Caenorhabditis elegans: one gene and its partner. The protein of the gene in region 1 interacts with the protein of each later gene in a pairwise test. Each region holds a gene or a part of one and is shown on either strand. Other genes may lie near its edges. The genes, in order: iars-1 and lin-36.

Region 1 (7,405 bases):
AAACGTTTTATAAAACCTGAAAATCAAAAAAAAATCATTTCCCAATTGAGTTTTCATACAAACCGATCGAATTATGAAGAAAAATGAAAGCGGCAGCGTAAGACAACTGAAACGATTCAAAATAAACATAAATGAATTAAGTTGGCTCTTGATAAAGATTTCAACATTGACAAGCTTTTGCCAAAGGAATTGATCGACCATTTCATGATTCGAAAGCCAATAGGAGTTCGTGTACACAAGCAGGATTGTCGGGTAATTGTCAAATAGTATTTATTCAAATTCTTGAGCTCTTGATCTTGATTTTGGGACACCATACATAATTCATATTCAGATCACACATGTCCTTCCTGAATCACATCTTATTGGAAAAGCATTTCTAGGTGATTGTATCACTGCAATCGATGAAAAAGTTATCCACACTAGTGACGAGTTGCACCAAAAGTTGAAAGAGAAAACTGAGGTGTTAATATTTCTGAATCGAGTGTTTGCAAACGAAAATTTCAGAATATTCATCTACAACTGAAACGTAACATGTTTTCCTGGTGTTTTCATATTCGAACAACTGTTGAGAAAATCCAAATTGACAGAGATTTAGAGAGAATCACTCCAAATCCTGTTAACCATTACTTTGTGAGACAGCTTTTTAAAAATTAAAAAAAAAACTTTCTTATTTTAGGTTCTCATAAAAGTTCGTCCAACTCCTGAAATGCAATTCATTGACTTGGGATTATTTGTCAAATATAACAATAGAGATCGTTTGGAGGTAATTTAAACTTACAGTAACCACCGCATTTCATTTTCAGGTTGATTATGTTACTCCAAACAGCTTAGCATCCATCCATCTGAAATCTGGAGATGTCATTCGGGAGTGTAATTCTCAGGCAATTTGCTCGAAGAGCATGCTCCGTTATTGTATTGCGAGCAGCATCGCTTCTTCTGGACACTTTACGCTTCTTATTGAAGCACCAATTCGAGATATTCTCAGAGATCACATTGATTTGGCAGATGATGTTGTGGCAATTGCTGATAAGGCGGTAGAGGAGTTCAGAAAATTGGGGAAAGGATATCTACCACAACAACCGAAGAAAGGAGATAAGAAGAAAAACATCAAATTGAAAGAGGGACGTACAGAACATCAGATCGTTAGTGACATTGATCCTGCTAAACTGAGAGCGTGTAAAAATGCTAGCTGAATTTCTCTGATAATAAAGTTTCTACATTAAAATCCTTAAACATTCATAATTAAATATTATACGTTAACAGCAAACAAAATAGTGTAAGAAACAAATATGAGAAAAACTGCGGTTCAAATGGGTTCAAATAAAGCCAGGAACTAAAATGCGAACCGGATATGGATAATTTAAAGATGTAATAGCAATTTATCGTACGAGTTGAAGAGTCTGACCAACAAGAGACGTCACGTCAACTGTTGGATGGACCGCCGATCCATCGACATTCTTCAAGGCAATCTTACCGTTCCAGAGATCAAGAGCAGAGCGAACCTGAAACAAAAACAGATTTAACATTTTAAATTTCTAGGAAAACCCGATAAACATACGTGATATAGAAGATCAGCATATCCCTTCAGGTGTTCTTTTTCTGTTTTCACATGAACTCGAACTTTCTTTGATCCATCAACAACAGTGATCCCATCGAAACTGTCACCTTCGGCGAACAACCAAAGCTGAAAATAATTGTTCAGGAATATTAGAGAACATCAACAAAAACGGAATTTACCTCAACTTCTGAATCCTTAATTGCACTCTTGCTGGTGGCAGTTGGAGCCTTTGCAGCGGCTGGTGGTGATCCCAACTTGATAGGTGTTCCAGTAGCGGATACAATGTCATTCAATTTGGCAGCAACAACCTTTGCGAGTTGAGAATCAGCTGGACTAACAACAATATGAACATGAGCAGTATCAGTAGATACAAGTTTAGCCTGTTTGCGAAGACGTTGAACACGATTTGTCACTTCTCTGCAGAGTCCTTCTTCAATAAGAGACTCATCTTCAGTTGTATCAATCATTACAATGGTCTTTGCATCCGAGTGAGTTTTGTATCCATGTCCTTGATCACTTCCAGCCGCGTAGCTAACAGCAACTTCTTCCGAGGAGAGCTCATGCCCAAGCACAGTCAATTTTCCTTCAAGAAGGAATTTCTCCAACTCAGATTCAGTGATTTGGTTCTTCAAGTAGTCAGCAACCTTCTTTTGTTCTCCCTTGAGACGAGCACCCAGAATTTTGAAGTTTGGCTCTGCCTGTAATTTTAAGTATTATATTTTGAACAAACTTTTTGAAATTTTAATACCTTTAGGGTGATTCCGTATTTCTGTTTATCTTGTGAAACGGTCAATTTTCTGACGTTCAACTCAAGAAGAATATATGATTCCAAACTTTTTACGTCTTCCAAAAACTGACTGTCTCTGTTAATAACAATCATTTCCTTCAATGGATATTTCACAGCAAGTCCTTCACGATCGCGAACAAGACGAACCAAGTCGATAACATTTCTCATAACTTCAACTCGTCTTTCCACAGTCTCGTCGATTAGACTCTCATCCGGTTTTGGGAGCATCAGGAAGTGAACTGATTCCTCAGTCGAACCAATGACTTTCTTCAAATTTAGCCAGATATACTCGCAGAAGAATGGTGTGAAAGGAGCCATCAATCTAACAATCAAAATGAGAACTCGTCCGAGGGCTGCCAAAGCGTGATGTTGCTCATGAAGTCCGTTGTCTCCCTTGACTCTCTTTCTATTTAATCTGATGTAGATATTTGTAAGAGTGTCAAAGAATTTTGTAAGCGGTCCAACAACAGCATAAAGCCGATAACTATCCATTTCTTTCCGAACAAACGCAACAAGACTGTTTGTAAAGGATTCAATCCACCGATCCATGACATTTTCACTGGCAACATGAACGTTCATGTCAAACACATTTCCAGTTTCCTAAAAACGATAATATTTCAATCTCATAATTGTTTCAACATGAATAAACTTACATGTTCATATGCTTGTACGTTTTGTACAAAGAATCTGTAGGCATTAAACCATGGAAGGAACACATCCTTGAGAAGATCTCTTACGCCTTCTTCTCTGAATCTCAAATTTTCTCCTCTAACCACAGGAGAGTTGATGAGATAAAGACGCAAAGCATCGGCTCCGTACTTGTTAACAATGAGCATTGGATCGGGATAGTTCTTCTTACTCTTTGACATTTTTGCTCCATCCGACGCCAATACGAGTCCGTTACAGATCAGGTTCTGGAAAACATTTTTGATTTAAATTAAAATATTGAAATTGTACGAACCTTGAATGGTGGCTTGTTGAACAAAGCAGTTGACAGAACTAGAAGTGTGTAAAACCACCCACGGGTTTGGTCAATTCCTTCAGCGATGAAATCAGCTGGGAAATTGTCTTCGAAGATTTTGCGGTTCTCAAATGGATAATGATTCTGGGCATATGGCATGGATCCTGATTCAAACCAACAATCAAAAACTTCGGAAACCCTCTTGAGAACTCCCCGTCCTGAACGAGATGGGATCGTAACATCATCAACGCTGGAAATTTGCACTGTTAATTTATAAAGTCATCGTATTTTATGAATAGTAACATGTTTTTTAACAAACCTTTCTCTATGAAGATCAGTGATTTTTTGTCCTGAAAGCTCTTCTAATTCAGCAATACTTCCAACACATACAACTTCCTCTCCATCTTCGCTCACCCACAAATTGATTGGAGTTCCCCAGAACCGATTTCTCGATACAGCCCAATCGCGAGCATCTCTAAGCCAGTTAGCAAATCTCTTTTCCTTGACAAAAGCGGGAACCCAGTATGTCTCATCATTGTTAGCCAGAAGCCTTGGAATCAGGGTTTCGACGTTGATGAACCAGGATGGAACAGCCTTATAGAGAAGTGGAGTGTCAGACCGCCAACAGAATGGATAGGAGTGCTTCACTTCCGCTTGTCTGACAAGATTTCCCATTTCCTTGAGTCTCTTGATAATCAACTTATCAGCATCTTTCACGTAGACTCCTTGATAATCTGGAACTTCTGATGTGTATTTTCCACTTTCATCAACTGGACAGATCATTTTTTGGTCTTTAGCGATAACTCCATTCGCCACACAAACTTGGAAATCGATCTGGAAAGTATTTTTTATATAAAAAAAGAAAAGAAAAAAAGGAATCTTACCTCTCCGAAATATGGTGCTTGATGAACAACTCCGGTACCAGAGTCAGAGGTGACAAAAGTGTCATTCAATACCCGGAATGCGTTTCTTTCTTCGCGCATATAGGCAAAGTATGGGAACAATGGTTCATACCTGAGATCTTTGAGCTGACTACCAGCAAGTTTCTCAATAACTTCCAAATTATCATTTTTCAACTCTCCGAGACGTTCTTCCAGAACAACGTATTCGATTCCAGTCGTTTTATCTTTAGTGACCACATACAGCATGTCTGGATGAACAACTAGAGCTAGATTGGATGGAAGTGTCCATGGAGTTGTTGTCCATGCAACTAGCTGCCTATTCGGACAATCGAGTAATTTGAATCCGACGAATACTGCTGGATCTACTACATCTTTGTAATTCTGACCAGCTTCAAAGTTGGAGAGTGGAGTAGAACAAGCAGTAGAGAAAGGCATAACTTTTACACCTTTGTAGACAAGGCCCTTCTTATGCAACTCGCTGAAAGCCCACCATACAGACTCCATGAACCACGGGTAGAGAGTCTTGTAATCATGCTTGAAGTCTACCCAGCGACCAAGACGTCCCATTGTTTTCTCCCATTCGCCAGAATATCTCATAACGATCTTTCGGCATTCATTGTTGTAATTAGCGATTCCCATTTTCATGACATCTTGTGGACCACTGATTCCAAGCGTCTTATCGATTTCGTATTCGACTGGAAGACCATGAGTATCCCAACCAAACCGTCTTTCTACATAGTGACCGTTTTGATGAGCCCAGCGACCAACAACGTCTTTGATGGTGCTGGTAAGCATATGACCATAATGAGGAAGGCCAGTAGCGAAAGGTGGTCCATCATAAAAAGTGAAATGTGGACGATCTTTTGACAGCCTGAAGATAACGTTTTTTTTTTCAATGTGAACAATTCCAGAATATTTAAAAAAAAACTAACTCAACAGAACGTTGGAAAGTATTCTCATCTTGCCATTTTTGAGCGACTTTATCTTCTTCTCTGGCAAAATTGATGTTGTCGGGAACGGTCGAAAGGCCGCTCATTTTTTACCCTGTAAATTTTAAATATGCGAAAGTTAGACACTAGGCGACTAACATAAATAACAACGCAATCACATGAAATCTGATGCAACATTCTTTATTGCGTATTGCGAAATTTTGATGGAAGTAGTAATTTTTTAAATATTCGTCATACTAAAATATGATATATTTATTTGAATAATTGGTGGTGTTAACGGAAACGTTATCAAGGACAATTTAAGGCATAGTTTCGTATCTAGAAGGCACATCTTCGAGTAATTTTACCAAGTTTTCATCTAGTTAGTAAGAAAACATTAAATTGACACCATCAGTAGCGTGAGATAAACTATTCCAGTGTAGAAAGAGATGTATACAAATGAAATACTACCAAAAACATGGGAACCTCTTCTAAAGCAGTCAGATAAGTACTTGAGTTAAATGAAATGTTATTTAGTTGTTATTTTCAACAAACTTAAATGACAAAAAACATCGGAATTGCATGAAAAACCGATCAAAATAAGAAGAAAACTGGAAAATGGGAACTCCAAATAAAACAATTTTTTAAAGGCGCATGCATTTATTCAGCAGGGTCTCGCCACGATTTCCCGTCTTTTTAATTCGCCGAAAATTTTTTTTTATGAATTACAGTCCGTTTTCAGACAAATAAAGTGAAAGTTAATATGAAGCTGATTTAAATTTGATATTCCCCGTAGTGGAAAACGGTTTCTCGCGAGAAAAAGCGCATTTCTTGCGTTTTTTCAGTGAAATTTGTATGAATGTAACCGATCCGTTGTGTTTTTCCGCCCGTTTTCTTTTAATGAACTGAAAATTCATTTTTTAGTTTTCAGATGCGTTTTTTTGGTGTACGGACAGTCCAGATTGCTTCTTTGGCTGGATTCTCGTGGGGAGGATCAAAGCTGGACGATATCCAAACAGCAAAACTCAGAACATGCCCAATTCAAGTTCAGCAACCCGAGAAAGTGCAGAATGATGTCCTCCTCAGTCGAAAAGTTATTAATCACCTGGATAAGTCAAACTTGAAGCTCCGATTGTATCAATACGAGACTTGCCCGTTCTGTTGCAAGGTGCGTTACTCTTGTGTGAAGTATGAAAACTATTAATCAAAAATACAGGTTCGAGCCTTCTTAGATTATCACGGATTCTCCTATGAGGTTGTAGAAGTAAATCCAGTCACTAGATCACAGATCAAGTTTAGCACAACTTATAAAAAAGTAAGTTTTCATTCACATTTCCGGTTGTTTTATCTATTTTCTTTCAGGTTCCAATTCTCAGGAGTGGCGAGACAACTATGACCGAGTCTACTTTGATTATTTCCACATTGGCAACATATCTTCAAAGACCCGATCAGTCACTCGACCAGATAATACAAATGTATCCAGCAGTTGATTCAACAAACGAGAAAGGAAAGCCAGTGGGTTTTTGAATTACTCTGCAATTTTAAAACATCCTTGCTGATTCAGGTTCTCAACTACCCTAACAAATTCTTCGTTATGAAGGGAAAAGTAGACGGGGACGCAAATATGGCTTCTGCCAGAGAAGAGCGGGAATGGAGAGAATGGGTGGACAATTGGTTCATCCATCTTATTTCTCCTAATGTATATCGTAATTGGAATGAGTCTGTCGAGACATTCCGTTGGTTCGAACAAGTTGGCGACTGGCATCGTACTTTTCCAGCCTGGGAGAGAGTTCTAGCGGTATACGTGGGTGCAGCAGCAATGTTTTTACTTTCAAAAACATTGAAGAAAAAGTAAGTTAGTTAGAAGTTTATATCATGATTTCTGATATTAAAGGCACAACATCAATGATGAACGAGAAGAATTGAGAAAGGCTTGTCGTGACTGGATGGCAGCAATTGGACCAAATAGACAGTTTTTAGGAGGAGATGAACCGAATCTAGCTGATCTGGTTGGTTTGATTTTTTGGAGAAGGATTTACAATCTGATATATTTTCAGTCATTATATGGAGCTATGAATTCTTTCTATGGATGCTCAGCGTTCAAAGAAGTTATTTTAGAAGAAAAAATTGCTGAATGGTGGCGAAAAATGGATGCACTTGTCAAAAACCACGATGGAAGAAAAGCATTGGAATCAAGAAGTCAAAAATAAAAGATTGAAATTGTTAATATAGACTAGTCCTTGATTTAGTGCCTTATTGTTTGCTGTG
Region 2 (7,232 bases), on another chromosome or scaffold:
ACTTACTGATATCAAAACTCATGCTGTTATCATCAACTGAATTTGGAGTTTTTGGATCCAACTTTGCGGAGAGTTGATCATTTTGTTGTTGATCTTTAATCTCATTTTCTTTTTCCACTATTACATTCTGCTTAGCCTCAACTTCTGGTTCGGGTTCTGGAACTGGTTCTGGTGCAAGTGCAGCTAAAATTAAAGCTGGAATATCCTGAGCAGGAGCTGCATCTGGAACTGTTGAAAGCACCATTGGAGTTATCTGTGGGGCTAATGGAGCAGCTGGAGGAGTTGGTGGTGGAGCACTGATTGTGACTTCAGGTGGTCCATTTGATACAGAAATAGTTTCAACTGATTTTAGAATTGGTTTATCAAATGCATCACTCAATACAGGTGCAGCTTCAATGATAGTTGCTGGAGTTGTTGGAGATGTTGGAACTGATGATTGAGCTGTATCTTCACGAATCCAAACTATATCATCTTCATCGTCAGCCATCTAAAAATAGAAATTGTACTGAGTTTTGATGCTTCATAAAGTAGAAAAAGTATGCGAGATTGGTTTTATTCAAAAAAAACTCTTGTAGTAGTAGTGATATGGATGGCATGTTGGTTGTTTTGTTGGCAATAGAGAAATTGGCAGAACGACGGAAGAGGGTTTAGAGGCCATTTTTACACTGTTTTGAGCCCGCCTGAGTGAGCATTAAACACTGAATAGTGTGTAAGATGAAGATACGCAGAGTTGCACACGGACTTGATCAGTGAAATCGGGGGAGGAGAAGGAAGGGATCCGAGAGATTTTAGACTTGAGAAGTGAAGATAGGTTTTTGGAAAATTGACACCTGGAAATTTAAGATTCATGCATGAACATTTACGCGAGCTACAATTTATTGTAACTTGATTAAACCATGAAACAATTTTTTTACAAATGCTTCCCTAGAGAGGCCGGATATTAAAAGTACAGATGGCAGAAAACTTTCATTTGTGTGAGTACGGTAGTCTGATTGTTTGTTATTGAGTTTAAGAATTTTTCACTATTTGTTTTTTAATGTGTTTCTTGTCTTTGGGGGTTTAAGTCGACTCCCAATAAGAAGTTATACCGTAATCGCTTTTATGAAGAGATGTCTAATGACTTGTCATCTTTGAAATCTTTTGCTCGTGCTAAGTATTGTATTCAGACGAATAATACATTATAATTTTCGAAAAATGTAATCACTTCACAAGCCAGGGCAAGAATTGCGCTTCTGTATGAGCTGTCACCAGATTATGATTTTTAATTGTGTACGGAAGAAAAATTGAGAGCATCTTAAGAGGAAGATGCATCTTCTGAAATAATTTTTCTAAATAAAAATCAGAATTATTTTTCAGCATTCCACCCAGATTACGTGTCTGTTATAATCGTTTCTGGAAGACATTCTATTAGATACCGTACCCCGAAAACTAGAAATCCTATTTCTAGTTTTCGGGGTACGGTATCTAATAGAATATGAGTACCTGAGTAAACATCACTTACTATACGCATATGTTTGCTCAAGCTTCTACTATACCTGAACCTAGAGAAAACTGTCTTCCGTTCGATTTAATTTGGCAACGAAATGTTCCAAGCTTATGATGTTCCCGTTGTAATTAATTAATTCCCCTGCTTTAAATCACTTATTGTTAACGAATATGTACTTCTCAAACTCCTGGTGTTATCTCCGTGGTATTTTGGATAAATTGGTGTCAATCATTTATACAAATGACCTGTCTCCATATTGATATCATCAATTCAACGTCCCTCCAGTTCCAAGTCGCTTGTTCGGCGAGAGAGCGTAGCAAACGGAGAGACGTCATAGAAAAAGTACGCAACCGCGCGTGGCGGTGTTTGCGTACATCAGATGAGTGGGAGCCAGAATTGTACAAAAATTGGCCGGACAATTATCGATTTTTACACTTTCGACTCATTTTTCACTTATTATCAATGTTTTTCGTTATTATTTGTATCTCTTGAGCGTTTTAAACAATTAAATTCACTGTATTTTCTGTTTTTGTGCTCAAAATGTGTAGAATTTGCAAAAGAAAGGCTTTTCCAAAAATATTTGATTGCAGGAAATGTCGGAAGAATTGCTGAGTACTAGACCCAGTAAAAGGGATTATAATGATATTGAAGAACCAGAAGACTCACACGTGACGGTGCACTCAGTTGAACAGGTATGGTGATAATTGAGAAACATTCTCGCCGCTTATGAATATCAATGCATTTTTAGGATTCACAGCATTCTGGTGAAGAATCCTCAACTGTAGACGCATTGCAGGAAACTGAGGGTGATGTTGACGTAATAGGAGAAGATGAGGACGAACACGATGTACGTTTACATTTTCATTCTCGTATTAATGCATGTGCCCATTGGCCGGAATAGAATACATCATTTTATTTTCAGATTCCCGTAATGCCAACTGTCACATCAAGTGGTGAAGTTCTTGATGAAAGCCAAGTCACTCCAACTAAACAAGCTTCGTCGTCACAACCAAGAGAAGAAATTATCCACGGCAAAGGCGAAAGTGTCTACTCCAGTTTTCCGTGCCAAGTTATTCCGGAGACTTTAAGCCGAATGACACGAACTCCGCCAGATGGAGAGCATTTAGAAGTGTACCGGATGTCAAATGGGAGACTGAGAATATATGTTGTTGATCATTTCAAGAAGTTTTCTCCATACTCCAATTTGACTCATAAGCCATGTACAGTTTGTAATCGAGTAATGAAATCGGGAGAGATGCATCTAAACTTCCCAGCAGACTTGGATAGGCGCAGAATTTGGGCAAATTTGCTTGGATTCAAATACAAAGATATTCTTCGCAGTAAAATGGGTCCTGTATCGTTTTCAATTGCTGCCGGTCCAATTTGTACTGAGCACTTCGCCGAGGAGTGCTTCAGGAATCACAATTTCAACAAATCTGCCATCGAAGCTTTTGGAGTTCCTGTTGCTATTTCACCAGACGTTAAGACGACACCGAGTAAAAAAAGGTAAGAAGAAAAGCTGGTTCTGCTCGAAACGAAAAAGCTTGTGAATGAATATGTTAGCTCGATTTTTGGCTAAAACATCCTCTTTCACGATTTTATAAAAGTTCCAGAGTGCCATGGGTCTGTACCGTATGTGAGTTCCACTCGTGCAGTGTTGTCGAGCTTCAGACACATCTTCTCAATCACACGGAGGAAATGCTCAAGAAAAAAGATAATGTTTTGGATGTAAGTTCAAGCTTTTTAGTTAATACTCTTATTTTATCACATAATTCTTATAACAAAAATTAATATTTTTCACAGGTCCCAGAAGCTGGCTTCATGTGCCCATTCTGTAGAAAATGCACATATGGTTACAAGACAATATCTGGATATCGTCGTCACTTGAATGCTGGCCCCATTCATCATTGTCATCTTCGTAGAATATATGAATTCGCTAAAATGAACTGCCGCGCTACTGAGTTGGATCCAGCGGAAAGCTGGGATAACTGGACTCGTCGCAACGTTTATGTGGCATATCACGGCTGTGAACCACCAGCAAATGAAATCGTACTCACACCTTCACCAACGAAAAAAGCCTACGTGCAAAATCCAGAAGAGCGTACGAAAATGGTTCACGATGAAGAGAAGAGAAAGAAGGCAGTGAGGACATTATCGTTTGTTGGAAAAGAAGGTGGTACAAGTGTGAATGATCTGAACGTAATGCAGCGACAAGTGTTTCTGCAATTGAGAAGAGAAGCAGAGATTAATACAAAAGCAGAAGAATCGGCTCAAGGAACGAAGGAGCAAGAGAGCAGTCAGAAAAAACATGCAGAAGAAGAGTCAGACGATGTTTCTGAACTGTAAGTTTTGTCAAAAAATGTTCGAGTTAGAGAACATCCTGCGTAACGAAATTTAAAAAATCTTACTAAATGGAAATCAAAGAAGCAATTAAATTTTTTAGAACTTCCCATCAGTCTCCACAAGCTCCAATGGGATCTGGTGAACGACGTAAAGCAACACGTCTCGCAACTTCCGCTACAAATTCACCAATCAAGAAGGTGGCAAAACACGAAGTTCCTGCTACAGCTCCATCAACTCCAGCTAAGAAACGGAAAATTTCACACGAAGAAGAACACGATCCAACTCCTGAAAGTGTAGAGAGAGAACCAACAGTTTCACCAAATGATCCACGTGAACGTCTTCGTTTGAAGGAACGAGATGAACAATTTGCCAAAATGGTTCAGAAAAGATCTCAGCAAGTTAAGCGATTGATCAATGCCAAACAATTCAAGAAACAAGAAGCAGCAACGAAGAAGCCGAGAAAGGCCTTGGCTTATAATTTGGCCAAAGGGATCGCTGCTACTTCTTCGGTGAGTTTTATTTACTGAATTTATTAAATAATAGATTAGAACTTAATTTGTAACTTTTGAAATTCCTCTTTTACTTTGTAGCATGTTGAAATTCGAATTACTAGGATAATGTTTTTTATTCAGACGGAGCCAGAAGACAAAGTGACATCTTCGGAGCAGACACCAGAACCGACAACAAGTCAAAAATTTATCGCCAGAAATACACGATCGAAAACTAAGGAGAGTGCTGTTCAAAAAGTTGAAAAACCAGCAACTCCTGTCGCAAAACCGGCACCAGTAGAAAAAGAGCCGGAAGAACGCCCTCTAAAATCAATGCTCGCGAGATCTTTTGTTGCTGGAGTTCGTCCTTCGATGGCTAAATATCAGATTCCATTAGAATCGTTCACAGCTACTGCATCACTTGGTGGAGGACGTTCATTATCTTCTGGAGTCATATCAAGACCACCAACTTCATCCTCTCCTGGCGGGATCTTTTCTCAAAGAGTTATGGGAGCTGTTGCACAAGAAAAAGGGCCTGCTAAGAGACCGGTAAGTTTAATATATTAGAATTATTTATTAGGAGACTTTGATATTTTTTCTAATTTATTGCTTCAGAGTGTGCTCTCCCGAAGACCACTGATCCTTTCACCACGAAAAAAAACATCAACTCCACGACCAACACTCTCCCATCACGAGTCATCGCCAAACTTCTCAGCATCTTCTCCGGTGGTTGTTTCTGATGAGTATCTGATTCCAGCAACGGATATGGAAGTTGAAATGGTCGAAGAAGTCATTGATTCTATGGGAAACTCATCGTCTGAAGATGTTGCCACTTCTTCAACATCTTCCGAGAGGCAACCGATGCTTACGCTGGCAGAGGCTCTTGAGATGGATGGTTCAAGTGGAACAGTTAAAGATCAAGATATGGAAGAAATCTCAAAAGAAATGATGAAAGATGCTCATTACTACAGAGCAATGGAAGACGCTATCAAATGTCGCACCGTGACGAAAATGCGCGCTGACATGAGACTTTCCCGTCATTGCATCCGGCAAATTGAAGCTGCGAGAGCCAGGTGAGCCCATGGGAGGTCTACTTTGATAAATCGTTTAATTTTTTGCAGAGCTCGTCTGTTTGGCGAAAGGACTGAAGATTATCAAATTTTCTACTCTAACGATGGAGCACAAGTGGTATGTTTTTATTAGTTTCAATTCTGAATTTTAGTAACAATTTTCGTTTTTTAAAAGATTTTATTTATGTTGTTCTCAATTTGAAACCATTTGCTTTGAAAAAATTCCGATTGAAACATCAAAAATCACTGATCACAACACAATTTATTTTAAAAACATGTTTTCTCCGCTATTTGGCGTTATCAATCAGTTTGTTTCATTCTTATGATTTTCAGCTCACCAAAAAAGATCCAAAATGGCGTGAACTTCAACAACAACAACAACAACAACAACAGCAGCAAGAACAATTTCCAGGACAAGGATCATCGGATTCTCAACAATAATTATTTTTAATTATCAAAGAAAGTGCCTCAAAATTCAAGATTCAAAAGTCAATTGTCCTTTCGAGGATCGCCCCACATTTCTTTCATGTGAACTATCTCTGTTTTATATCCACAGAAGTTATCCCATTTTACTTTCATTCGAAATTCTTGAAATCTGATAAAAACTCCGACTAGGATAGATTTTCGTCTAGATTTTTAGGATTTTCACATTTACTTTTTTCCCATTTTTTACCCCCCCTCCCCCCTATAATTTACTTTCCAAAATTAATAGTTTGTTTTACTTTCCATAAGCCCCCGCCCCCTCCCCAAAAACCACACTTTTTCTATCATAAATTAATCTGAATTATTCACAAAAAATGAGCCAAAGTCTATTTAAACGTTTCCCTAGTTTTCAATTACATTCAAGTTTGAAAGATATGTGCGTTTGTGTGCCAAATATGACTAAAAGTCAATAAATAAATGATTTTGCTTGGTAGGTTTTTGAAAAGAGTTTTCAGATTATTTTTTCTATAGGCTACCTGATTATCCATAACATTATATTTTGAAAAAACCATGAAAAATTTAAAAAAATCCTAAAATTTAGAATGGCATCACCAGAAGCATCGTCTTCTGGAAATACAGAAGATCTTCGTATCGAAGATTTATTCCATCAAAAACGAAATGAAGATACGATTGCTAAAATATTTTCGATTATTTATGCTCCAGTTGGTGAGATTTTTTTCAAATTTTTTGACACATTCCAAAAAGTAAAAGTTTTAAAAAATCAAAATTTCAGGTTTAATTATTCTTTTAATTCGTGTTTTCCTCGGTTTCCACACATTTATTGTTGCATGTCTACTCAGAAAATCTGCTGCTTTGAGAATGCACACTCTTCGAATTATGTGCTCAATTCTCGGAATTGTCGTTGAAAAATCTGGTCACAGGTTTGTGATTTTTTTTTTGAAAAATATTTGATATCTCCAAAAAAATAGAAACAAGTTACTGAAAAATTGGAAGCTTGCCGTATTGCCCAGGCGCAAATTTTTTTGCGACTTCTGTCCCAAAAGTGAGGTACCTGGTCTCGAAATGACAATTTTTTTGTTAAATACAAAAACATGTGCGCCTTTAAAGAGTACGGTAGCTTTAAAATTTCGTTACTGTGGATTCATTGATTTTTCATAGTTTTTCTTACGATTTTTGTTAAAATCAATGTGTTTTAAGTGTTATTTTAGTTTTAAAAATTTATTTTAACGAAAAAACTTTGAAAAATTGATTTCAAAAATTCCGCAGCAACAAAAGTTCCATATATCCATTTATATTTTACAAAAAAAAAGTTTTTCAAGACCCGGGTGCTGTACTTTTTTTGCAAAATGAAATTCGGTAATTTTTAGTGTATCTAAAAAAAATTAAAAAAAAAAGGTCACT

What was found.
Region 2: the proteins of iars-1 (region 1) and lin-36 interact in a two-hybrid assay, tested with the Caenorhabditis elegans proteins (3 studies listed by BioGRID).

The regions. Positions count from the first base shown.
Region 1 is NC_003282.8:10,366,454-10,373,858, reverse strand, and holds iars-1 (Isoleucine--tRNA ligase, cytoplasmic), read right to left. Parts: upstream 5,253-7,405; 5' UTR 5,245-5,252; coding exon 5,141-5,244; intron 5,080-5,140; coding exon 4,191-5,079; intron 4,141-4,190; coding exon 3,626-4,140; intron 3,557-3,625; coding exon 3,307-3,556; intron 3,260-3,306; coding exon 2,999-3,259; intron 2,946-2,998; coding exon 2,307-2,945; intron 2,257-2,306; coding exon 1,738-2,256; intron 1,685-1,737; coding exon 1,559-1,684; intron 1,503-1,558; coding exon 1,380-1,502; 3' UTR 1,222-1,379; exon of another isoform or gene 1,194-1,221; coding exon of another isoform or gene 804-1,193; intron 764-803; downstream 1-763. Other genes in the region: mpz-5 (PDZ domain-containing protein), read left to right, coding at 74-97, 142-252, 332-460, 505-630, 677-763, 804-1,193; pges-2 (Prostaglandin E synthase 2), read left to right, coding at 6,069-6,305, 6,354-6,452, 6,500-6,652, 6,702-6,988, 7,032-7,146, 7,195-7,347.
Region 2 is NC_003281.10:8,015,718-8,022,949, reverse strand, and holds lin-36 (Protein lin-36), read left to right. Parts: upstream 1-2,076; 5' UTR 2,077-2,079; coding exon 2,080-2,178; intron 2,179-2,234; coding exon 2,235-2,333; intron 2,334-2,408; coding exon 2,409-2,992; intron 2,993-3,093; coding exon 3,094-3,214; intron 3,215-3,289; coding exon 3,290-3,828; intron 3,829-3,929; coding exon 3,930-4,338; intron 4,339-4,461; coding exon 4,462-4,866; intron 4,867-4,932; coding exon 4,933-5,390; intron 5,391-5,438; coding exon 5,439-5,505; intron 5,506-5,720; coding exon 5,721-5,828; 3' UTR 5,829-6,302; downstream 6,303-7,232. Other genes in the region: F44B9.2 (uncharacterized protein), read right to left, coding at 7-487; F44B9.5 (Lipid droplet-regulating VLDL assembly factor AUP1 homolog), read left to right, coding at 6,413-6,536, 6,604-6,751. UniProt on the Caenorhabditis elegans protein: Required to negatively regulate vulval development. Antagonizes Ras-mediated vulval induction. Acts cell autonomously.